Tamandua tetradactyla: one gene and its partner. The protein of the gene in region 1 purifies or fractionates together with the protein of each later gene. This does not show direct contact. Links are inferred from orthologs where the notes say so. Each region holds a gene or a part of one and is shown in the gene's direction. Other genes may lie near its edges.

Region 1 (8,134 bases):
TTATTTTTCTCACTGGAATGAATATCTTTTATTCAGCATAATTTGTTGTAGGCATCACATAATATTAAACTCATGCTACCAGGATAAATTCAAACACCGCCCACAAGGCTTTCAGGATCTATGGAGTATTCGTGTATTAAAGCAGGGAAGCTATTCCTGGATATATTTTTGAAGCTGAAGTACTTCTTCCAAGTCCGTTAGTTCCAATTCCATTATTTCTGGGGAACTTTTAATAGCAAGAATATGAAGAAATAAACAGTGCTGATTCTCTAAGACTAAAGTTTTAGGAACGGACGATTGCTTTCCAGAAGAGACCATGAGAGTGACCGTATTTGTGAGAAAGGACAAGTGGCAGTCTTTCTTTAGCGTGCCTTATGAGCCCAATAGAAAGAACAATGGGGAATATGATCAGCAAGTTTATTTTAATTGAAGACGATTGCTGTCTTTTCACAATGAAAGTCCTCGGTGACTTCTTCAAAGAAAGTAGTAGCTCAAACATGAATTTTTTAAAAAATATCTGGAGCGCTCACTCTGGTCTAAATCTGTTCCAGGTATTCTTACAATAATCTTTTGAGATCAGAAGAAATCTTCCCATTTAATAGATGAGAAAACGGAGGCGTCTGTAAGTCATGTATCTAGCGAGAGATCGATGACCTCTAGCCAAAGACCACCAGAAACGCAACTGTGGTTGAACAAGTTGGCTTTGTTATTCCTTGCAGTGAAGGGGAAATGCAACCCATGGGAAACAACGGGACGTCTCAGTAATAGAATGTTAGAAAGGACTCATAAGTGGTCTTGAAGAGGATTTGTGGAAGTGGGGCATTGCTCTGGATTGGATGCCATGAGTGGGTATCTTTTTTTATTTAATTTATTCATTAATTTAAAAAATTAAGAACAAACAAAAACATTAACATATCATTCCGTTCTACATATATAATCAGTAATTCTCAATATCATCACATAGTTGCATATTCATCATTTCTTAGAACACTTGCATCAATTCAGAAAAAGAAATAAAAAGACAACTGAAAAAGAAATAAAACAATAACAGAAAAAAAAAAGATTATACATACTATACCCCTTACCCCTCACTTTCATTGATCACTAGCATTTCAAACTAAATTTATTTTAACATTTGTTTCCCCATTCCTTATTTTTATTCCATATGTTCTACTTGTCTGTTGACACGGTAGATAAAAGGAGCATCAGACAAGGTTTTCACAATCACACAGTCACATTGTGAAAGCTATATCATTATTCAATCATCCTCAAGAAACATGGCTACTGGAACACAGCTCTACATTCTCAGGCAGTTCCCTCCAGCCTCTCCACTACATCTTGAATAACAAGGTGATATCTACTTAATGTGTAAGAATAACCTCCAGGATAACCTCTCAACTCTGTTTGGAATCTCTCAGCCATTGAAACTTGGTCTCATTTCACTCTTCCCCCTTTTGGTCCAGAAGGTTTTCTCAATTCCTTGATGCTGAGTCTAAGCTCATTTCAGGATTTCTGTCCCACGTTGCCAGGAAGGTCCACACCCCTGGGAGTCATGTCCCACATAGACAGGAGGCGGGTGGTGAGACTGCTCGATGTGCTGGCTGGAGAGAGAGGCCACATCTGAGCAACAAAAGAGGCTCTCTTGGGGGTGAATCTTAGGCCTAAATTTTAAGTAGACTTGACCTGTCCTTTGTGGGGTTAAGTTTCACATGAACAAACCCCAAAACTGGGGGCTCAGCCTACAGCCTTGGCGGTCCACACTGATGAGCAGGTATCTTAATAAATCTTATCTAGAAAGAGGGAAAACTAGGCTGAAGCTAAAGCTGTAATTGGTAGAGACATAACAATTTCCATATGAACCAGGAGAGGGAAATGTTCGATTCTTTTCGTGGTTTGGACAATGCTCGTGTTTTGTCTGAGTTCAGACATGACTGTGGTATTGTCATCTTTCAAGCCTGATCCACAGAGTGGCCTTTTCTGATATTGATGGTCTATGAAATTGTCTGTGTTTAACAGAACAACAACGCAGGCAATCTGTGAGTGCCAGTTCACAGTAACTCAAGGCTTGGGTGCCAGGCAGATTCCTAGTGTCAGGAGCTACTTTTCTCTCTGAGAGGCTGGACTCCAATCCAGATTTTCCTAACTGGAAACATTCCCTGTGCTACCCCTTGTTCATAGGAACCACAGAGAAGGCTGATAATTGAGGAAACTCAGAACACCAGCCTCTGGGAGCTAAGCAGATTCATCTCTCAGTTAATTTCATCTATTAGCTTCACCCCAAGTCAGGCCCAATCTCTTATAGTGTCTGGGATCATTGTATACGCTTAATAAATGTTTACTGAAGGAATAACATGACGAAGATGGTGTTCTAGTTTGCTAGCTGCCAGAATGCAATATACCAGAAACAGAATGGTTTTAAAAAGGAGGAATTTAATAAGTTGCTAGTTTACAGTTCTAAGGCCAAGAAAATGTCCCAGTTAGAACAAGTCTATAGAAATGGCCAATCAAAGGCATCCAGGGAAAGACACCTTGGTTCAAGAAGGCTGATGAGGTTCAGAGTTTCTCTCTCAAGTGGAAGAGCACATGGCGAACCCAGTCAGGGTTCCTCTCACATCTGGAAGGGCACATGGCAAACACGGCGTCATCTGCTAGCTTCTTCTCTTGGCTTCCTGTTTCATGAAGCTCCCCGGAAGGCGTTTTCCTTCTTCATCTCCAAAGCGCTGGCTGATGGACTCTCTGCTTTGTGGTGCTGCAGCGTTCTCTTCCCTCTTTGAAACTCTCATTCTCCAAAATGTTTCCTTTTTTATAGGACTCTAGTAAACCAATCAAGACCCACCCAAATGGGTGGAGACACGGCTCCCCTAATCCAGTTTAACAACCGCTCTTAATTGGGAGACATCTCCAGGAAGATGATCTATCTACAGATTCAGACATACAGTATTGAATAGGGATTATTCTGCCATTTTACGAAATGAGATTTTGATTAAAATATGGCTTTTCTAGGGGTCCATACATTCTTTCAAACTAGCATAGATGGGTATCAAGAATTCAAGAGAACAACCGCCTGGGTTGAAATCCCAGCTCTACCACCTATCGGTATGTGACATGAAAACTTAACTTTTTATAGAATGATAAAATCGTGCAAACTTTTAAACCTTAACCCATTTGTAAAATGGGGTAAGCACCAAATGCACTCATAAGGCTGCTTCCTGTGATGATCAAATGAAACATTCTGTGTACTGTGCTGAAAAAGGCTCACTAAATGTTAGCTATGATTATTTTAAGTAGCCAATTAGTTGAGTGATTACATGTGTAATATATTTCCCACTAGATTTGCAAGCAAAGATCTTGTCTCTTGCTGTATAACCAGTCCCGGGTACAGGAGTTGGCATGTGGAAAGCAATTAATGTTTGATAGATAAATATATGAATGAGCTAGGACCCAGGCAATTCCACACTTCCCATTTCTTGGCAAGTTTTTCTTTTTATTTCTTTTTTCACAGAAAAGTCACAAAATTTATACAAGAAACCCCAAAATATGCTTTAACTAGATTTTCTTTAAAATTGTTTACATTTTGCTTTATTTGCTTAACCATTCTACATATCCATATAAATATACCCACAACACTTTTCTGAATTTTTAAAAGTTGGTGACATTGTACCCCTTACTTCCTAAATATTTCAGTGAATATTTCCAAAGAACCAGGATGTTTTCTTAATATAACACAGTACAATGATAAAAACTCAGAAAATTTAACATTGATACCATACATATTAGTAGTTATTCTGCAACCCTTATTCAAATGTCATCACCTGTGCCAGTATTATCCATTACAACTATTTTTCCCTTCTAACCTAGGATTCAGTTTAGCACTGCACATCACATTTAGTTGTCATGTCTCTTTAGTAACCTTTTGACTGCAAAATTTCCTTAGTTTTTCTCTGTCTTTCATGCCCCTGACATTTTTGAAGAGTATAGGTCAGTTATTTTGTAGAATGCCTCTTGATTTGGGTTTGTCAGAGGCTTCCTCCTGAGGTTGGGACTATGCATTTTCAGCAGAATTATCAGAGAAGAGATGCTGTGTCCTTTTCAGTGTGTCTTATTAGGAGACACATGATATCCACCTGACCCTTTCCTGATTATGTCAACTGTGATTACTTTGATCATTTTTTTCTACTAGGTTTTTGCCTCTATAAAATTACTCATTTTCCCTTTGTCATTAATTGGTAATTTATAGGAGACCCTTTTATTTTGTAAGTATCCTATGTCTCTAGTTTTGCCATCTACTGTTGATTTTCTAATTCTATCATGATTATTAGTTGGCATTCTACTATAAGAAAGAACTTTCCCTTCTTCCCCTTTCATTTACTTACTCACGTCTTTAGGTCAGTAAAGACTCATGGATTACTACTTTACTCACTTGGCTATAACCCAATAATATTATGTCTTTTGATGCCCAGATTATCCTTTTGAGTTAGCTCCTGTGTCCTAGGACACTTCCTCACATTCTTGTGCAACAGATGTTTTAGGCTCATATGAGGCTTTCCTCGTCCCAACCCTACAATCGACTTCTTCATGGAACCCCGATTTCAGGTTACGTGGGAAACATTCAATTGTCCCTGCATTCCTACGCTTCCTGCCGGCAGACGGAACCTTAGATCCGGGGGCCTAGGCAGGAAGTCAGTGCGTCGGACCCACCTTTTCCAGTTGGAGCCGGAAGTCCCTGTAAGGGGGGGCGGGTCCGCGTCAGGTGACCGGAGTTCGCGTGGGAAGGATCGTAGGTCCGTCCGGACCAACTGACTGGACAGACGGCAAATAGGCCACCGGCTGGCGTGTCCTTGGTGGCGTTATCTGCGCGGAGGAAGCAGGTATGTGGGAGCCGGGGCAGTGGCTAGGGACCGTCGAGGTTGGGGATCGAGGGACTATGTTGGGACTTCCGGAGGGCCGCGGGTCCCAGCGACAGCAAGCCCAGCCTTGCCCCGGGCCCTCCGCCTCAGCAGGTAGGTCGTGTTGACGTTGTGGTCTTCTTATGATTACAGATTGAGGAAACTGAGGCCCGAGAAGGAGCGGGGCTCCCGCGGGCTGTCCCATCCAGGCAGAGACTTACCTTACCCTAAGTTTCTTTTTGGCCCCCGCGCGGGGCTGCTTTCCTCAAGTGAAGGGACTTTTAACGAGTTTGTCCCGAGTGGAAAATCCGAGGCCGGGAAGCGTGTTGAACAGAGTTGTTTGGGAGTCAAAGACGTAAATTCTAGAACTCGCCGCTCACAGCTGGTTGTGCAGTTTTGACCAGATCCCTTCCTTGTGCTGGACCTCAGTTCCTCGCTTGTAAAGTGGGACAGTGTTTCTTTTTTTAAAAATTTTTTTTGTTTTTATTTTTTTTTTTACATGGGCAGGCACCGGGAAAACGAACCCGGGTCCTCAGACATGGCAGGCAAGCACTCTTACCTGCTGAGCCACTATGGCCTGCCCGGGACAGTGTTTCTCTTAATATGGTTGTACACCAAATGCTTCGAGATCTGCCAGGATACATGCTTTAAGATATAGATTTCTGGGCCGCATTTCAGGCCTCTGATTTAGAATCTCGATAGAAACTTGGGATTCTGCAGTTTGAACGTACTCTGGGGCATCCTGCAAGTACTGATTTTTGAAACCCATCGATCTTAAGTACTTCTTGCTGTGAAGACTTGATATCCATTTTTCGCTTTGAGGCAGCTGGAATCTGCAGAATCTTGAAAGAATGGGATGTTTAGTTGAGAAAAGACAGTACTGGAAGGGTACTGTGTTCAAATACTGAAGAATTACTATGGCAAAGAGGGCTCCTACGTCATCTTTGAGGATGAAAGAGACAGAACTAGGACCAATAGGTGAATTCTACTGGAAGATGAGATTTTGACTTAATAGAAGGATTTAATGGAGGAACTGTCAGAGGTGACCATCAATGGAATGGATTACCTCAAGAGGAAGAGAATTCTCTCTTGACAGAAGTTTACCAGTATTAGACTGAAGTCCTTTCTAACTTGAAAGTCTCTGATTCTAACTAGTTATTTTGACTCTTTCTGATACTGACTCTGCCCACAGGGTAAATGTGTTGTTTCTTTTTTCTGCCTCCTTTTCTTGAACCCCACCCCCACTCTCCATGCAGATCTCCTGGGAGCAGAGTCTTATGACCTTAAGTAATTTTTTCCTCCTTGTTCTGTGAACCATTCTTCTTTTCAGGGACTTTGGAATGGCCCAACATCTGATCCTGGCTCCTTAAATGTTTACTGAATGAAAGCAGGATGTGTTCCCCATTGTTTAGTAGCTTATTTTCTAAGGACACCTTAGAAATGCCCTTAAGTCTTTGCATTTGATCAGGAAAAGCCAGTGAGCTCTTTGGATCACAGAATTGAGGACTCTTGCTTGGAAGGGCCTCTTGAGGTTGTTCAGGCCAACTTCTCCTTCCTGGGACATAAATCCCTTTTTAATCCTCTCTTTTGCAGTGTGTGGTGTATTGTGCCAAATGAGAGAATTTTTGCATTTTGTTGCTAACTTTTCATCCAGTATAAAAAGTCAGTTTTCTGGATTTGACTTGCTGGTTCATTCTCACTTACATGTAATCTACGTATAATGTTTCTAGTATTTCATTAGTTAATCAAACATCAAAACTCCTTCCAAGTAGATCACTTAAAAGCCTGGTAGAATGTTTAAGTTGCTCTATGGGCAGAGATTCCATGTTATGACCCTATTCTGCTGACCTGCCAAAAAAAAGGTTGGGATTGAGCCAAGACTTCCTGCCTGTGTTTATCTACTTGCTTGTTTATGTTTCCTAGGACTTAAAAAAATTGTGAAATATTTGTTCAGATATTATCTAGGTGCTGGGTACAGTGATTTTAATTTGGTGGTGGGGAGATAAGTATTTTTGAAACGTCTCAGTTTGAAAGTTCCCCTTTGAAGAAGTACCTAAATTGGCTTTTCTTAAGTGTGTTCTTCAGACCAGTGGTCTGAAGAGATGCCTCTGAAAAAAATGGTTCTGTGGTAAAAATAAGTTTGGGAAAAATTTTTTACTATTATCCCTTCTTGGAGGTTCTCAGTGTATAGTACCACGTTAAAAGCGCTGGGAAGTCCTACAATAATTTTGTTTAATGTAGCTTTGTCAAGCTTATTTGATATGAAACTTTTTTTTTATGAGGCACACATTGGTATATTCTGACCTAAAGCGCAGGGGTCTGCAAACTATTGCCTTAAGGACCAAATCTGGCCATATTGTCTATTTATGTATGGCCCATGAGGTAAGAATGGTTTTTACATTTTTAAATGGTTGATAATAAATCAAAAGAAGACAGTTTCATGATTGTGAAAAATTATGGAAAACTCAGATATTAGTATCCATAATAAAGTTTTATTGGAACTCAGTCACACCCATTCATTTACATGTTATCTTTGGCTACTTCAATGCTACAGCTGCAGAGGTGAGTATATGCCTGAGAGAGCATATGGCACACAAAGCCTGAAGTATTTATTATTATATGACCCTTTACAAAAAAAGAAAATTGCTGACATCTGACATGCATTATTATAATTTTTAACTTTTTGTTTTGAAATAATTTTTGACTTAAAAATGTCACAAAAATAATACTCAAAGTTCCTGAATACCCTCCAGCTATCTTCCCCTAATGTTAACATCTTATGTAACCATATTAAAATTATCTAAACAAGTAAATAAACACTGGTGCAGTGCTACCAACTAATCTATAGACCTCATTCAGATTTTGCCTTTTGTTTCGCTAATGCCCTTTTTCTTGTCCAGGACCCAATTCAGGATCCTACATTGCATTTAGTTGTCACATCTGCCTAGTCTTTTCCAACTTGAAGCAGTTCCTGAGTCACCTTTTTTTTTTTTTTTTTTTTTTTTTTTTTTTGTCTTTGATGAGTGTAACGCTTTGAAGAAGACTGGCCAGTTGTTTTGTAATGAGTATCTCAATTTTAAAGATTCAACATTTTAAAGTGTGCAGTTCAGTGGTTTTTAGAATATTCACAAGGTTGTGCAACCATCACTACTGTGTGAATCCAGAACATTTCCATCACCCCCAAAGAAACCCTGAATAGCTATTAAAAACAGAAAATAGCAGTTGCTGTCAAGGATGCAAAGAAATAG
Region 2 (7,688 bases), on another chromosome or scaffold:
TCTCAGCTGGAAGGGCACATAGTGAACATGGCAGCATTGACCAATTTTCTCTCCAGTCCTCTTGCTTCATGAAGCTCCCTGAGAGGACTTTTCCTTCTTCATCTCCAAAGGTCACTGGCTGGTGAACTCTGGTTCTCTCGTCCTTCTGTCGTGGTTCTGCGGCTCTCTCCTCATTCTCAAAAGGAACTCTCTCCAAAGTGTCTCCTCTTTTATAGGATTCCAGTAAACTAATTAAGACCCATGTAGAATGGGTGGAGACATGCCTCCATCTAATCAAATTTAATACCCACAATTGATTCAGTTCACATCTCCATGGAAATAACCTAATCAAGTTTCCAACCTACAGTACTGAATAGGGATTAGAAGAAACTGTTGCGCTCACAAGATTGATTAGGATTTAAACATGGCTTTTCCAGGTACATAAATCCTTTCAAACTGGCACAAGGAGTATAACAGAGAAGATAGGATTTAACAAATGAGTATGACTACTGAATCATTATGTTGACATTTCTGTTGATCTCGTGTCTTGGAGCAGCTAGAAGAAAAAATGAAAAATCATGGAACTGTAACCCATACCAAACTTTAAAATCTGTTCTATAACTGCTTATTATAATGTACTTCGAAAATTTCTTTTTTTGTATATATATATTTCACAATAAAAGAAGTTAAAGAAATGTTTTTGCTGAATGTGACACTTTTCTCACAGAAGAAAAGGAAAAAATTGTCTGAATACTTGTGTTTCATTGTAACTCTCAATCTGCTATTTGAACCAATGAACAGAACACTTTTCAGCAAGCAACAGTCAGTATCTGCATGTCCTTTTTCTATATTTGTCCTCACAGAGATACCGGAAGCCTGTGCTGTCTGCGAGGTGGTAATGCATGAAGACAGGAAGCAGCAGGTCCTATCCTCTGGCTGCTCTCATTCCTGAGATGGTACAGCTGCCTTCTCACTTGAGTGTGGAAGCTGTGCACATTTCTTCTGCCTTTGTAATTCCCAGAAAATAGACTGAAAAAAAAAGATACGACTGTTTTCTTAAACCCTATTTACTCCTTCCCAAACTTCACCACCATGCCAGAACTTTGTCATTCACATACCACTGACTTAATCCCTATACTGTTAAGATAGTTATGGTCAGAGTTCTCCATATGTGGACTTTCCTCCGCCCCTGCATTTTGGTTACTAATAGCAGGTCTAATGGTAGAATCCAAGCTGTAGTTTTTCTCAAGAGGCATCAATGATTATCTTAAAGAAGCAATGTGTGTGTGTGTGCATGTGTGTGCGTGCGTGTGCGTGTGTGCGCGCATGTGTGTGTGTGCGCGCGCGTGTGTGTTGGGTGATGAATGCAGAGCAGGGGTCAGGACCACAAGAAAAAACAAACAGAATGTGGTGCAAGTACTGACAGTTCTGATATTTTTAACTGATAATGCTAATAAAAATAAAGCATAATCGGCTTACTTAAACCTCACTTTCTAAATGCCTTTCATCAATTTGGAGTCACTATTGCTTACCTTTACCAATCACATGCTTTGAAGCTGATTCATACTTATGTTAGAGTATATGGTTAAGCATACAGAGCTGGAGGGCTTGGTATCAAACCCAGTCAGCCCCTTACTATGTAAGCCCAAGCAAGATACTTAACGTCTGCCTCAATTTCCCCATCTATAAGATTGGGATAATAGGTTGTTGTGAGGACATGCTGGTTTGTTCTAAGGCTGTGAAATTGTCGAAATTAAAACAAGTCTATAGAAATGTCCAATCTAAGGCATCCAGGGAAAGATAACTTGGTTCAAGGCCAATGACATTATCATTTCTCTCACAGCTGGAAGGGAACATAGTGAACATGGCGGCATTGACCAGTTTTCTCTCCAGTCTTCTTGCTTCATGAAGTTCCCAGAGAGGCATTTTCCTTCTTCATCTCCAAAGGTCACTGGCTGGCGGACTCTGGTTCTCTTGTCATTCTTTTCTTCTCTAGAAGAACCATGTTTTAATTCTAATTCCGTTTTATAAATCCAGCCATTTCTTCTAATCCCTATTCAGTACTGCACGTTGATCTGTAATTAGATCATCTCCCTGGAGATATGACTCAATCAAGAGTGGTTGTTAAACTGGATAGATGGAGATGTGTCTCCACCCATTTGGGTGGGTCTTGATTAGTTTACTGGAACCCTATAAAAGAGGAAACATTTTGGAGAAAGCTGAAGATTCTGAGAGAGCAGAACGACATAGCCACGGGAAGCAGAGAGTCCACCAGCCAGCAACCTTTGGAGATGAAGAAGCAAAATTCCTCCCGGGAAGCTTCATGAAACAGGAAGCCAGGAGAGAAAGCTAGCAGATGACGCTGTGTTCGCCACATGCCTTTCCAGCTGAGAGAGAAACCCTGACATTCACCATGTGTCTTCTCACTTGAGAGAGAAACCCTGAACTTCAATGGCCTTCTTGAACCAAGGTGTCTTACCCTGGATGCCTTAGACTGGACATTTGTATAGACTTGTTTTAATTGGGACATTTTCTCGGCCTTAGAACTATAAACTAGCAACTTACTAAATTCCCCTTTTTAAAAGACATTTTGTTTCTGGTATATTGCATTCCAGCAGCTAGCAAAGTAGAACAGAGGATTAAACTCATCAATACATTAAAGACATTTAGAACAGTGCCTGGCACTAGCAAGAACCCATTAATGTTAGCAATGATCCTCATTTTCCACTCTCCTTCTCATCCACCCCCCACTCTGGCTTTTGCACCCATCTCTCCTCTTCTTTCTGCCCCCTTTTCTCATTCAAGTCCATATAACAGGAACTTCTCTGCTGTAAGAGATGCTACTGACCACTTTCAGGCCCAGCCACAACCATTTTAGTCCTGTGGCACTAATGATTTTTTCTTAGGCGATTTTATGGCTTCCTCTTCCCATTTCCTTCTCAGTCTTCATGCTCTGCATGATTTTAATGCCCTCTTATTTATCCATGACTCCACAGTGAAAATCTAACACTCAGTGCCGGAACCTGACATTGGTCTATAGTATTATCTTCCGGGCATAAGTTTTCAGATTTCTCTGAAACTCAACATATACAAAAGAGATGCAATTTCATTCTGACTACATTCCCTACCCCAAACTCCAAACTCAGTGAGTTTCCTAATTCACTTGATGACAATAAGACATTTTCAGTCACCCATACCAACCTCTTAAGATGCAGACTTGATAGCTCTCCTCCTTAACTTCCTATACCCAACTTATCACCACATTTTGTATATATTATTTTTTAAACATCTCTCAAATCTGTGCCCTGCTTTCCATACCTACCTCTGTCCTTGGTCAGACCACCAGCACCTTTTGCCTAAACTCTGCAACATCCTCCAGCTGGTCACCTGCAGTGTTTTCTCTCTCAAGTCACAGCTCTCCACAGATCCACCAATTACCCGTGTCACCACTAATTAAAAATTCTTATTGCACTCTGAAAAAGCCTAAGTTGCTCAGCATAGCATACAAAGTCCCTTCGGGTCTGGCTTCAGCCTATCTTCCCAGCTTCCCAGACTGCCACTTCCCACCATCTCTTTAATGACAGATAGAAAACTGGCAGCCTCCAAGGGGGCCACTTCTGGCCCACAGAGGTGTTTTGTTTGGACCACAATTTTTCTAATGTTTTGATCACTTGCCCAAATTTTAAAAATAGAAAATTCCTCGTAAAAACCCACCTTTCTGGCTCTTGGAAGTACTGGCCACTCTGGTCCTACAAATCTGACTGCATGAATCGTGGGTGTTCTCTTTAGACAGAGATTGACCACTGCAGCATTCAACAGTGCCTGCTCCTCATTGGTAGAGCTTCTTGGCTGCTTCCCTTGATGTAGACATTTGAGTTTCAGCCTTTGCTTTACAGTCAGAGAATATGGAATTGCTTCTTGTACTCATATTTCTCTTACTGCCTGCAGAAGCTTGTCCCTCAGGACTTCCTTCTAGCCACTTTCCTGTAGGAGCTTTGCCCTGTACCCATGACGGATTCGGCGCCCTTTTCTGTATTTCCATGTCACACTGTTCAAACTTCTGTCATATCCCTTGCTATATTATATTCAGATTAAAAGTTTGAATGACGCTTGAGTTCCTCATAAGGCTCACCTCACCCAGGAAGTGAGAGGAAATTCTTTGTGGAGATTTCTTGAGCCATTCATTTCATTCATTCCAACATTCTCTCAACAATCATGAAGAAGGAGGTGACGCTAGATCCAGATCTTAAAGGTTGTGTGCCACTCCTCAAATATCTATTACAGCCCCCCACCCCCATCCCCCGTTCAGGAAGAGTTCGGCGTCCCGGAGAGCGACTAATCCCTGTGGGCCGGGGCTCCCCGCACCCGGGCCACGAAACCAGCTTGGGAACTACTACTCCCGTGATGCTCTGCTCCCGCGCCTGCGCAGAGAGCAGGGCCACGTCGCTTTCTGGGCGACGGGGACCACGCGACTCGACTATGGCTTCCGTGGAGTCCCAGCGTTTGACGGACGGCGGCGGTGCCGGGAATGGCTTCCAGCCCTACCTAGATTCCTTGCGTGAAGTACTTCAGCAGCGGGATCCGACGCTGCTGTCCGCTGTGGTGGCGTTTGTCGCAGTGCTGCTGACGCTAGGTAAGAAGCCGGCCGGCCGTGCTGGCGGGTGCGGGGCGGGCCGTGGTCCAGGCTTTTCGGCCGCGCTCCTGCACGGGGCCGAGGGGCGCTTTGGGGGCGTCTAGAGAGGGGCATTAACCCCTTCTATCACTGAAGCAATAGGAGCAGTACTTCCCTGAAGGGTGGCCCCCGGCGACTCCCGGAGAGCGGTTCTGCCCGGCACGGGTAATTCTTAGTTCGTGGGTCACCCGCTGTGCCCGAGCGCGGTTAATTTTGGAAGCCCCGACCAGTCTTTGAAGGGCTGTGTCCACCTTCCGCTTTTCTTACTGTTAAAACTCAGAGGGTCTTTACACGGCTTCTGAGCTCGCTGTGTTTGTGAGCTGGGCGCTGCCGATAACTGAAGATGGTTAAGACCAGATTGCGTCAGAGGAGTCCACAGTGGGGGCCGGTGGTGCAGACACTGCAAAGTTGACGGTCGTAGCTGGCACCAAGTGGGTCCCTGCCGACCACAGAAACGGTTGTAATAGTGGTAATAACAGTAAACGTAAGTTCCAGTGGAATGAGGTGTTTTGTGGGAGACTTCTGTTAATTCCTCCACCCGAGCCATACGTGCAGACTGTTGATAATCAAGGCGTAATTTTGGTTATTTTTCTTTGTTTTTCAGTGTTCTGGAAGCTCATCCGGAGCAGAAGGAGCAGTCAGAGGGCCGTCCTTTTCGTTGGCCTTTGTGACTCAGGGAAGACGTTGCTTTTTGTTAGGGTAAATGCTTTTGATTTACACCTCTGGTAAACTTAATAGGAAAATTTAGGGTGTCCCAGTGTTCCTGTGAACTCATGGTTTTTATGGGAGAACAAAAAGATTCTTGGACAACCCATAAACTGGGATTTTTTTTTTACTATTTCTATTTTCTAGCACTTGCCAGATGCTAACATTTAGTCTTTATCACTTTGAAGGGTTTTAGGTAACTGATTTCATCCTGTGGTTAAGAACAGCTGAAGAAATGAAAGCCTGTATTTTTGTATAACAAACCCTTCTGGGAAGCTTGTCCGAACAAAAATTTGAGGGTAATTTTTCTTTGACATATCTGACTAGTCAGGCTTCTTTTATTAATACTTATTTTTAGCATGTTTGGTATTTTTAATTCTCTGTGTGTTTCTTTGGAGAATACAAGAGGTTTTTATTTTTCCTTTTTGTTCTCTTTGAGAGTATAAATTATTTCCTTTCCACAAAAGAAATCTAATCTCTAATCATCTTTGATAGTTAAAAGTGTCTATATAAGGGTGGTGTGATAGTTGCACAGTGGCAGAATTCTGTCCTGCCATGCTGGAGACCCGGGTTTGATTCCTGGTGCCTGCCCAAGCAAAAAAATAAATAAATAAATAAACGTGTCTATGTGAGGTCAGCAAATTTGGCTACTAACCTTAGTTGGAAAATATGATTTTTTCTCCCATTGGGGAGTGGAGAATGAAGTTTACAATTAATTTGATTGTTCTATAGGTAAAAAGAGTCCACATGATCTTTTTCAGGTATTGCAAGCAACATTTATTTGACCTTATACCTGGGAGAGTTAGAACATTACTCTTTTTAGTTTTACTGTAATATGTTTACTCTGATCTCTCCCATCTTGTTTCTTACAGTTGTTATCAGGTCTTTACAGAGACACTCAGACTTCCATCACTGATAGTTCTGCTGTATACAGAGTCAACAATAACAGGGTAAGGTGTTGGAATCTGACAGTGTTAAAATACTGTGCTGTGTCGGGAAAGTTCATTTCCAGGATGGATTATTCTGAGGTTATAAGTACCATTTGTAGCTTATTTTTATGGAGAAATGTATTCCATTTGACAAATTTCACACTTGATCATCTGTGCAGCAGATTTAATAATGCCCTTCTCTCCTTTTTATACCTTATTCATACTGATGTTACAGCACCTTTTTTTGTTTGTTTTTGTGTCTTCTTTCCATCTTTGCTTTGATTTCTAAAGGGTGGTCAATTAGCCTTTTCCTTTTCATTTACTTTTTAAATATACTTATTTAAGTATATATATGGAACACAAATTCAAAAGATTAAAAAAAGAGTATTGGTGAAAAAGTTGTTTTACCTGATCTATTACCTACCTAGTTTCCTTTCTTAGAGGCAGGAACTTAACCATTTTCGTTCGTAATCTTCCAAATGTTCCATGCAAATATTTCTGTATATATATATATATTTTTTTTTTCTTTTTTAACACACTTTTGCCTTCATTTAACTCTGTTTATTTAACAACATAGCTGATTTAGCTTGGGTTTTTTTTTTTACACCCACATTAGTACACATAATACTGCCTGGTTCATTAATGACCTGCATGGTGTTCCACTGTATGGCTGTACCATACGACTAAATCCTTATTTAAGCAGACGCCTATTCATAGACATTTGGTTTCGTTTGTTATAATCTTTTGCTTTTACAAACAGTGCTATAAAGGTGATTTTAAAGAGTATATGTATTTCAAAAGTACCAATAAAAAAATCACAGAAAAGCCTTTTTATGTGCCTGTTTAGGTCCAGAATGTAGACAGGGCCTGCTAAACAAGTAATAATAATGCTTGATAAATATTTGGCGTGTGTGATGGATTGATGATGGCTGGTTGGAGGAGTGGGTGGGTAGATGGATGAATTAGAATGGTCGTCTCAGAGACCTTTTTATCTTCTCCTTGGGTTTTGCCCTTCTGCTTTCTAAAGGGACATCCTCTTAAGTATCTTAGAGAAGATTTTGCCTTTTTCATTGATGGCACCCTTTCTAGCCCAGTAATTTTTAAACTTCCAAGAATTCTGATTTTGAAATTTCAGGTTTGGGAGATCATTAATTTTGGGGGTATATACTAGATTTTTTTTAAGTGGGATATTCCAGGATAAGCTTTAGACCTGTGCTTTCTAATACAGTAGCCACTGGTCACGTGTGGCTGTTGTGCACCTGAAATGTGCTCTTATGTTTCAGATCTAGTCTTTCTTTTTAGGATAGTAATAGGTCTTCTAGATTGCCTAGATGTGTGGTGTGCTGTACTAGTGAAATGGAGCAATGGGTCCCGAACTGGGCTCCCTAGACCCTTACGTTATT

Evidence for each region. Proteins that work in one complex are often made in the same cells at the same time.
Region 2: the proteins of RNF185 (region 1) and SRPRB purify together in Homo sapiens (affinity purification with mass spectrometry; 3 studies listed by BioGRID and IntAct, with this or other methods). This does not show direct contact. The link is inferred for Tamandua tetradactyla from reciprocal best matches to the Homo sapiens genes RNF185 and SRPRB.

The regions. Positions count from the first base shown.
Region 1 is NC_135331.1:31,604,223-31,612,356, reverse strand, and holds the start of RNF185 (E3 ubiquitin-protein ligase RNF185), read left to right. Parts: upstream 1-4,716; 5' UTR 4,717-4,868; intron 4,869-4,874; exon of another isoform or gene 4,875-5,000; intron 5,001-8,134. UniProt on the Homo sapiens protein: E3 ubiquitin-protein ligase that regulates selective mitochondrial autophagy by mediating 'Lys-63'-linked polyubiquitination of BNIP1.
Region 2 is NC_135341.1:77,559,255-77,566,942, forward strand, and holds the start of SRPRB (signal recognition particle receptor subunit beta), read left to right. Parts: upstream 1-4,402; 5' UTR 4,403-4,458; coding exon 4,459-4,612; intron 4,613-5,255; coding exon 5,256-5,350; intron 5,351-6,228; coding exon 6,229-6,306; intron 6,307-7,688. UniProt on the Homo sapiens protein: Component of the signal recognition particle (SRP) complex receptor (SR). Ensures, in conjunction with the SRP complex, the correct targeting of the nascent secretory proteins to the endoplasmic reticulum membrane system.